Linked DNA regions of Coturnix japonica. The protein of the gene in region 1 interacts with the protein of each later gene in a biochemical or structural test. Links are inferred from orthologs where the notes say so. Each region holds a gene or a part of one and is shown on either strand. Other genes may lie near its edges.

Region 1 (4,253 bases):
CTGAGTTAGGAGGCAGCACGCCATAGATGAGGGAGACAGGAGCAGAACAAAACAGCACAGTAAGCACAATTTCATAGGGGAAGTCAAAGTGCCCTTTGCACTCCTCAGTAACTTGCAGAGAAGGCTCTGTTCCTCACTGTCTTTCACTATGAGCTGGGTGCCGTATGAGAACTTTTACCCCAATTCCTTTAATCCCAAGTACAAAAATTAGCCAAAACACAGAAGTCTGTGAGTCACTGGGTTATTTTTCTTAGCCAGCATTTACAGAACACACATTTTACCCCTTGATAACACAGAAGGGAAAGGACCAAGTCAGCAAGTGATCACATCTAATGTTCATTTCTGAAACACAGTCCTGGAGGTGAATGCAGAGCACACAGGGATGGCTGCTATCAGCTGTGACTGAATGGGACCAGTCACGGTGACAGTCAGTTTCTCTCTGTTGTTCCCTTACAGAACTTACTGTACTTCTCTGCCTGCTCTGCCCACCCCCACAGGCTGCAGGTGCCACAGAATCACACAGCACAGGAGCTCATCACAGCCACCAGCAGCGTCTGCTCCTGCACCGTGACTGGGGGATGTAATTCCACTCACCTGCAGCCACAGGACGAGCGGCAGTTCGTTGTACCCCGCACTGTAGTACAGCCACCAGAAAAGATGCGCCTTGCTGCGGACCTGCACGTACCCCCACAGCTCCCGGGGGGGCTCCAGAGCCGCTCCTGTGGGCAGAAAGACCGTCAGTGGGGGAAACACCAGGAGCCCCACCGAACCCGGCTCAGAACATCGCGTTTCAGCCTTGGGTGTGATAATTAGAAGGGCTTCAATTAAGAAACTACCACAAGGAGCCCGGCTGTAGATATACACACACCCACAGCTGACTGACCGGCCACCAACGAACCAAGAGCGGCGGGGAACGAAGCGCGGAGCTCATCGGCCGGCACCGCCCCGCCTCGGGACGGGCCATAGGACCGCGCTAAGGCCGCCCCGCTCCGCAGGGCACCGCGAGGAGACGGAACACGGGGGTTGGAGCTACATGATCCTTGAGGTCCCTTCCAACCCGGGTAATTCTGTGATTCTGTGATTCTGAGACACGAGAGGACAGCGGGGATCGCCCCGCTCAGCCCCGAAGCGCTGCCCACACACTGCAAGGGGTGCCCGGACACGGCCCGTACCTGCCACCAGAGCCGCGATCAGCGCCATCCCCGCAGCAGCCCGCCCCGCTGCCATCCCCACAGCAGTTCTCCCGCAGCTCCAGTCCCGCCCCTCTCTCTCTCTCTCCATCCCGCCCCTTTTGTCCCCCTCAGGCCGCCGTCCCTCCTCCCCTCCCTGCCCCCAACATGGCGGCTGCTGTCGGTTCCCCGCTCCGGCTGCGGCTGCAGTTCGATTTCCCGCCGCCGGGCAGCCCTGGCTGCGCGCTGTGCTGGCTGCTGCTGGAGCCGGGTCAGGCGCGGCTGGTCACCGACCTGCTCAGCATCATCCGGCACCGATTCGGCTTCAGCCGCCGGGCCCGGCTCAGCCTGTTCTTGGACGGGGCGCTGCTGCCGCCCACTGAGAGCGCCCGGCTCGTGCGGGACAACGATGCGCTGCGGTACGACGGGATGGGAGATTTTGGAAAGGGTCCAGAGGAGGGACAGGAAGATGATCAGGGGGCTGGAGCACCTCCCCTATGAGGACAGGCTGAGGGAGTTGGGTTTGTTCAGCCTGGAGAAGAGAAGGTTGCGGGGTGACCTCATTGCAGCCTTTCAATACCTGAAGGGAACTTACTCCCAGGAGGGGAGTAAACTCTTCGAAAGGGCTGACAATAGCAGGACACGGGGAAATGGTTTTAAGTTAAAAGAGGGAAGATTTAGGTTGGATGTTAGGGGGAAGTTCTTCACTAGGAGAGTGGTGAGGCACTGGCACAGGTTGCCCAGTGAGCTGTGGGTGCCCCATCCTTGGAGATGCTCAAGGCCAGGTTGGACGGAGCCCTGGGCAACCTGATCTAGTAAAGGTGTATGTTTGGTGGCCCTGCCAGGCAGGGGGTTGGAACTACATGATCCTTGAGGTCCCTTCCAACCCGGGTCATTCTGTGTGATATGGGGGCGGTGTGAGCGCAGTGTGAGCGCGGCTGGATGCTGTTTGTTTGTGTCTCTTTAGGGTGACGCTGGAGGAGATCACGGAGGAGCGGTGCGAAGAGACGGATGGAGAGTGCCGGGCACAGAAAGGTGATAAAACAAGGCACAAACGGCGGCAGAAGGAGCGAGAGGAGGAAAAACATCAGAGGGAAAAGAGGAAGGAGAAACGTGAACCAGAGTGTTCGTCCGGCAGAGAGGACAGCGCCGGGGATGGATCCGACACCAGGAAGAAATCCAAGAAGAGAAAGAGAAGGGAAGAGAACAGCGGGATGGTTCCAGAGGGGAAGAAGGGCAGAGCCCCGAGGCTGCAGAAGGCACCGGCAGCCAAAGCAAAAGATGGGCAGCAGGCAGTGCTACCTGTGTCAAAGGCGGCCCATAAACGGGTGGGCAGCGCTGCTCTGACCCCCAGTAATCGGACACTGGAGGCCCAGAAGCAGAGGGTGGGAACGTCGGAGTCCTCCAGCACATCGTCCGACAGTGACAGCGCTGAATCAAACGTAAAGCAAAGTAAATCCTCACACAGACCTGCAGCAATGGTGCTTCCCAGAGACAAAGCACAACCTGCAGTGACTGCTGCTGCTTGTAAGCAAATGTCGAATGCTAAACGTGGCAGTAAGGATGCAGGTAGTAAAAACGCTAAGAAACCGCAGTCCTCCAGTTCAGATTCGGACTCAAGTTCCGAGGATGAAGGAGCAGCACCAGCACAAGGCAGAACTGCAGAGCAGGCGCTGCCCAACAGCACAGCAGTGGCACAGACTGGGGCCATTGGGGCTCCCAAAGCCGGGAGCTCTGAGTCTGAGTCCGACAGTTCCGATTCAGAAACACTCGTCATTAAAAAACCTGCAGCCAATGCTGGACTGAGTAATTCCATAGCAAGAAACGGCTCCAAACAGTCACCAGCAGGAGTCCAAGGGCTGGCTGCTGGGCTGGGGCGTGGGAGGGGGCGTGCAGCGGGAGCGGGGAACTTCTGGAGAGGACCGAGGGGCCGCGGGTTCCGGGGGATGGCGAGGGGCTGGGGCAGAGGAGAAAGCACGGGCTTCTTCTATAGCTACAGCAGTGAAGGCCAGAAACAGAGGCAGCTGGATGAAGCTGTGACAAACACCCCTGTTCCTGTCCAGGTGAGTGACTTACGCAGTCATTGACCAGCTCTCTGTCACAGCCTTAACTGTATAATTAAGTACAGCGTGAGGGTAATTTGGAAAAGCTGAAGAAAGGTAAGTAGGGTAAAGGCTGATAGATCTGAACACGGTACATTTGATGTTTGCAGTATATGTCCTGCAGAAGAACTTATGAAACAATAAGTGATTGTATTGGTGGAATAATTGCTATGGGCAACTTGGAATGAAGGCACAGCGCTGTTCATAGCAGAGTGCAGCTGAGATGCTGATCCGCCAGCAGGTGGCACTGGAGGTGGAGTGGAGGGAGACTGCAGCCAGGTTCTGTGATCCACAGCAGCTCCCTGAGCAACCACAGTAGTGGTGTTGGCAGCATCTGGAGGACTGCTGTTAGTGGCTGTAATTGCAGTGCTGGGATGGATGGAAACTTGGTGGTACTAAGCTGCAGATGTGCTACCCTGGGTGGGCAGCCTGTCATTCTTAGACAAAATGCCGTCCTTTGGGTGAACTTTGCTCATTATGCACTCGTTATAATACCAAAGCACACCTCCATCCCCAAAGATGCCCACCCCAAGGAACAACTGCCCTCACTGAGCACTGCTCTGAATTCTTTAGCCTGTACCTTTAAAACCTCTTCCCCCCCCCCCAGGTGAGATTCACACACTTGGTTACACTGAGAGCTTTTATGGGAAACTCATAAATCTCAGTGGAGTTGTTTGTGACCCAGCACACGTGTGCCAGGTTGTTATTCTCAGCTCTTTGCAGACTGAATTTATCAGCAGCTCTTTGTTTTGCAGAATGCTGTGGATGTCCCCAAGAGAGACTACAGCGTTCTACCACTTCTAGCTGCCCCACCACAAGTGGGACAAAGAATTGCCTTTAAGGTAAGGATCTTTGGAAGTACTGAACGTCAGTAGGTCAGCGCTGTTTCACTTGGGCCCTGTAAGTTTTGCAGGGAACCATACACAGTCCTGCCAGCCAAAAGCCTGTATCAATAGGTACACTTCCAAATAAAATGATTTTT
Region 2 (3,813 bases), on another chromosome or scaffold:
ATATAGACAGCCAAGAAACCATGTATGTGTATCTAGTGTATTTGTTAAGGGCAGGGATCCCAGCTGGGGATGCTCAAACTTATGTCCATTTTTAATTTTTGTTTTTATGGGTAAAGGGAAGTCATTGTTAATTTATTTATTTATTTTTAACTAAATACCTTCAGGCTTATAATTACTGACTGCATTGAATGACAACAATAACCAAAAAGAGAAATGCCAGCTCCTTCCTTAATACTTTTGTGAAGCTATTTCAAGTAAACTTAAATCTCTTTAAAGGGAATCTGCTATCAGTAGAATTGCTGTGGAAGTCAAGGATACTAAATGTATCAATACATTTGTTTGGCTGGCTTGCTAGCTTTATTGAAGGAGATGCTGTGAATTTTGCTTTTACTGTACTGTCCAGCGTTCAGGGACCTGAATTCCACCTATCCAATTCTCTCTGGAATTATTTACAGTAACTCTGAGGTCATGTTGCAGTCTTTCCACTCCTCTTTACGTCCCCTTCATATCTCTCAAATTGTTGTCATGATGCCTATTTTCTCCCCTGGTATGGCTTTTTTTGTACCCTGTAGAATATGTCAGTGATCACAATCTTTATGCGTATCTGAGTCCATTGGGTAAGTGCTGATTTTTCCTTACCTGTGTCAGTCCAAGGGTGGTTCCAAATATTTTTATTATCCCGTTACCTCTTTTATTGGCTCTACTCAGTGCTTTCTGATAATGTCTTTTCCTTCCTGATCTGGATGTACTGCTAAGCTGCTTGCCTTATTGAACAGTATAATGGAATGGCCACAGCCATTCCTACCTCTATTTCTTCTGATGCTTTGACTTCATCACTTTTCCACTTCCCTGGTCTTAGCTGAACTTGCATCTGATGCTTGGATCTACAGAATAGCTGGAGGAGGACTCTTCCTCTAAGGCAGTACAGTATATATCCCATTTTAAGTGGAAACAATAAGATAAAGACGAGAGGATATGGGTAAAATTATGAGCAAAGTTAGTCCTAAATTTTAAGTGTAGAATGTCTAAGTTGTATCTTGACTATAGGGAAGAATGGTAATGTATCTAAGTAAAATGAAATATGGGGAAGTGATGCTGAATTAAAACATCCTATGATGAGGATGCAAGTGCAATTAAGGTATCATTAAGTACCCGTCTCTTCCAGTGATGCTGATGTTTGATAATAGTGCTTTGTTGCAGTTACTCGTTTCATCCATGTAGGTATTCAGGTGTGGCTCTATGACAGAGAGAAAATTCTCAGATTAAAAAGGAACCAGAAAAAGCAAGACATCTCTTTGGTCTAGAATCATATACCTTTTCACTTCATTCCTGTGCTGACTGGCCAGCTTGTGAAGGAGCCCAAACATGTGTTTGCTTACAGTGACGTTTGTTCCAGTGAGCTGTTGTGTTACTTCTAGAAATGCTGCTTATCTGGAACCTGAGGTTGGAAAGTTGCGACAACGTTTATTTTACATCTGTAGTCTCCAGACATGTAGTTAGGTGTAGATTTTGGTGATCTATTAAGTCCTGTCCTGTGAATGATAAATAGATTCACTCCTGTTGCTTGCAGTTACGCAGGAGAAAAATACAATTAACAGTTTGAATCACTATTTTTTCTGATATTTTCATACAGATAGAAGGAATCTGTGAGAAATGTAGATATTACTGGTTTGTTTGTTTGTTGTGGTGTAAACGTTAATACCTGTCCCTATTATTACTGGAAACTTGGATTATCTGACATTTTTTTTGCAAAGCAAATTAAGCTCCTGGAAAACTGATGAGCTTTGTTTCGTTAGTTTGCTTTTTTTCTAAGCTCAGAATTACAGTCAGTTGTGATGAATTTAGTATAACAGATTCTGAGATTTTTCTGCTGTGTGTTATACAGAGTCTCCTAATAACTTTCTCAGGTGAACATTTTTGCTTTCAGATTTCTTTTTTTTCTGAAGCCTGAAGAAATTTGTTGTTTTTGTTTTGAATTTATGCCAAGGAAAATACTTACTGTATTTCTTTTAAAGTATCTTCACAGTAACAAATTAAACAATCTACATAGGAAGCTATCAGAAGCGAAAGCAAGCATAAAGCACTGTCACACGAAATACCATGAAAATAATTCTTGTCAGCACATAATTCTTGCTTTTCTCTATTTCTCTTTCCCTTCATTCCTCTTCTCCCTCTGCAGCAAAGATGCCATATATTAAGAAGACAGCTGGAAAAAAGGCCCCCACGAAAAGGAAACTTGCTGAAGTGTTTGCTTCGGGGGAGGTTCTAACAGACACATCAAGAAAAGAATGGAAATTAGGTGTTCCTATAGGGCAAGGAGGCTTTGGGCGCCTATATCTTGGTAAGTCTGTTCATCTGTTGGTATTAGTTCAAAGTGAGATGTTTGTGCTTGTTCAAAACAATGAATAATTGTCCCTAAGTTAGAAACCCAGAGTATCTTCAACTTAGGTTTTTGGCTAGAACCATGGCTTAACTCATGCTCTGGGAAAAAAAAACAACAGGAGTGGGGAATGGTCATTGTAAACACTGAGTTTTACCAGGTTCCAATAGTATTTTTTTTTACAGCAGTGAAAAGATAATTGAACATTTGTTTTAAGCGAAGTTTTGTTCAGACTAGAAGAAGGGATACTTCTGTGAGCGTACTTAGCTTGTGAAGTGAAACCTCCTAAGCACATTCTGTGGAGGCTACTGATAGCAATTTGGCCGTTTTTGACTTCTGTTGATACTGACTTCTTCACTGCATTGTGAACTTCTGATGTGAGTTGGGTACTTTATCATGTACTCAGTGTTTGGAACAGATTGTAGCGTTGGACCTTACTGTTTAAGGCATCAGAACACCCTGTTTTACAATGTTGTTTATTGAATTCAGTGTAAACTTTTGATGAGAGTGTTCCATAATTAGTATATCTGTTTTTTGAACAGATGAATAGAGTTCTCAAGGATAACTCAGGGAATCAAAAAACCTTGTTTTCCTCTTAGTCATTTTCTGAACAATTGTGAAGGGATAAAATGTAAGGTGATCCAGTTAACAGTCTTTCTCCTTTCTTCATCTTTTTTCTTCATGATAAGATTGCACTCGATTCATACTAATTTAAAAACAAGGTACATTATTACTTTTCTTAGCTTCTGGGTGAACAGAATGTAGCTTAAGTGGATTAAGAGATAAAACAGGACTAGTAGGTGTTTTGTTTTTTTCTAAAGAAACCTTCTGCTTATTTTGCCTTGCTCATTGAGCTATTTAATTCATAGAGACTGGAGTTAAAGTCACTCAAGTTACTCATTCCCTTGTATACACAGTGCCTGAACTGTTCAAGCCAAAGCCTGCCCAGTATTTGCTTAATTATGATCTACACAAAACTGTAGTCTTGATTCCTTCTGCGTTTGGTACTTGCCTAATTTAATGTCTTTTATACTTCTTTCTCCTTTTGTGACAACTATCAACATCTTTGTGCCTACAGTCACTTCTGGATATGTAACATGACAAAAAATTAGAGAGAATGTTGTTTTGACCTTGATGCCCTTGACTCTGTGTTCATCACAGTCCTAGAAAATGAAGTGCTATTGACTGGGAAAAAGTTTTTAAATATTAGATGAAGAAGCCTTTATTTAGTAAACTGCCTGTACTCAAGTAGAAGGGAGAACGTGAAACCATGTCCAAAGTACTCTTGCCATATATAGTAGTTCTCTTGCCAGAGTATAATGTACTGACTGATACATGCTTATTTCAGTACTTAATTGCTCAGTCATTTCTTCCTGATAGCAAATAAGTGTATGTTTTGTGACAGCTACCTCTCATATTACTAATATACCCTT

The links.
Region 2: of the proteins of COIL (region 1) and VRK1, one has a biochemical effect on the other in vitro, tested with the Homo sapiens proteins (2 studies listed by BioGRID and IntAct, with this or other methods). The link is inferred for Coturnix japonica from reciprocal best matches to the Homo sapiens genes COIL and VRK1.

The regions. Positions count from the first base shown.
Region 1 is NC_029533.1:7,746,753-7,751,005, forward strand, and holds the start of COIL (coilin), read left to right. Parts: upstream 1-1,300; 5' UTR 1,301-1,337; coding exon 1,338-1,588; intron 1,589-2,136; coding exon 2,137-3,232; intron 3,233-4,026; coding exon 4,027-4,113; intron 4,114-4,253. Other genes in the region: SCPEP1 (retinoid-inducible serine carboxypeptidase), read right to left, coding at 595-719, 1,173-1,281. UniProt on the Homo sapiens protein: Component of nuclear coiled bodies, also known as Cajal bodies or CBs, which are involved in the modification and assembly of nucleoplasmic snRNPs.
Region 2 is NC_029520.1:42,296,440-42,300,252, forward strand, and holds part of VRK1 (serine/threonine-protein kinase VRK1), read left to right. Parts: intron 1-2,179; 5' UTR 2,180-2,184; coding exon 2,185-2,341; intron 2,342-3,813. UniProt on the Homo sapiens protein: Serine/threonine kinase involved in the regulation of key cellular processes including the cell cycle, nuclear condensation, transcription regulation, and DNA damage response.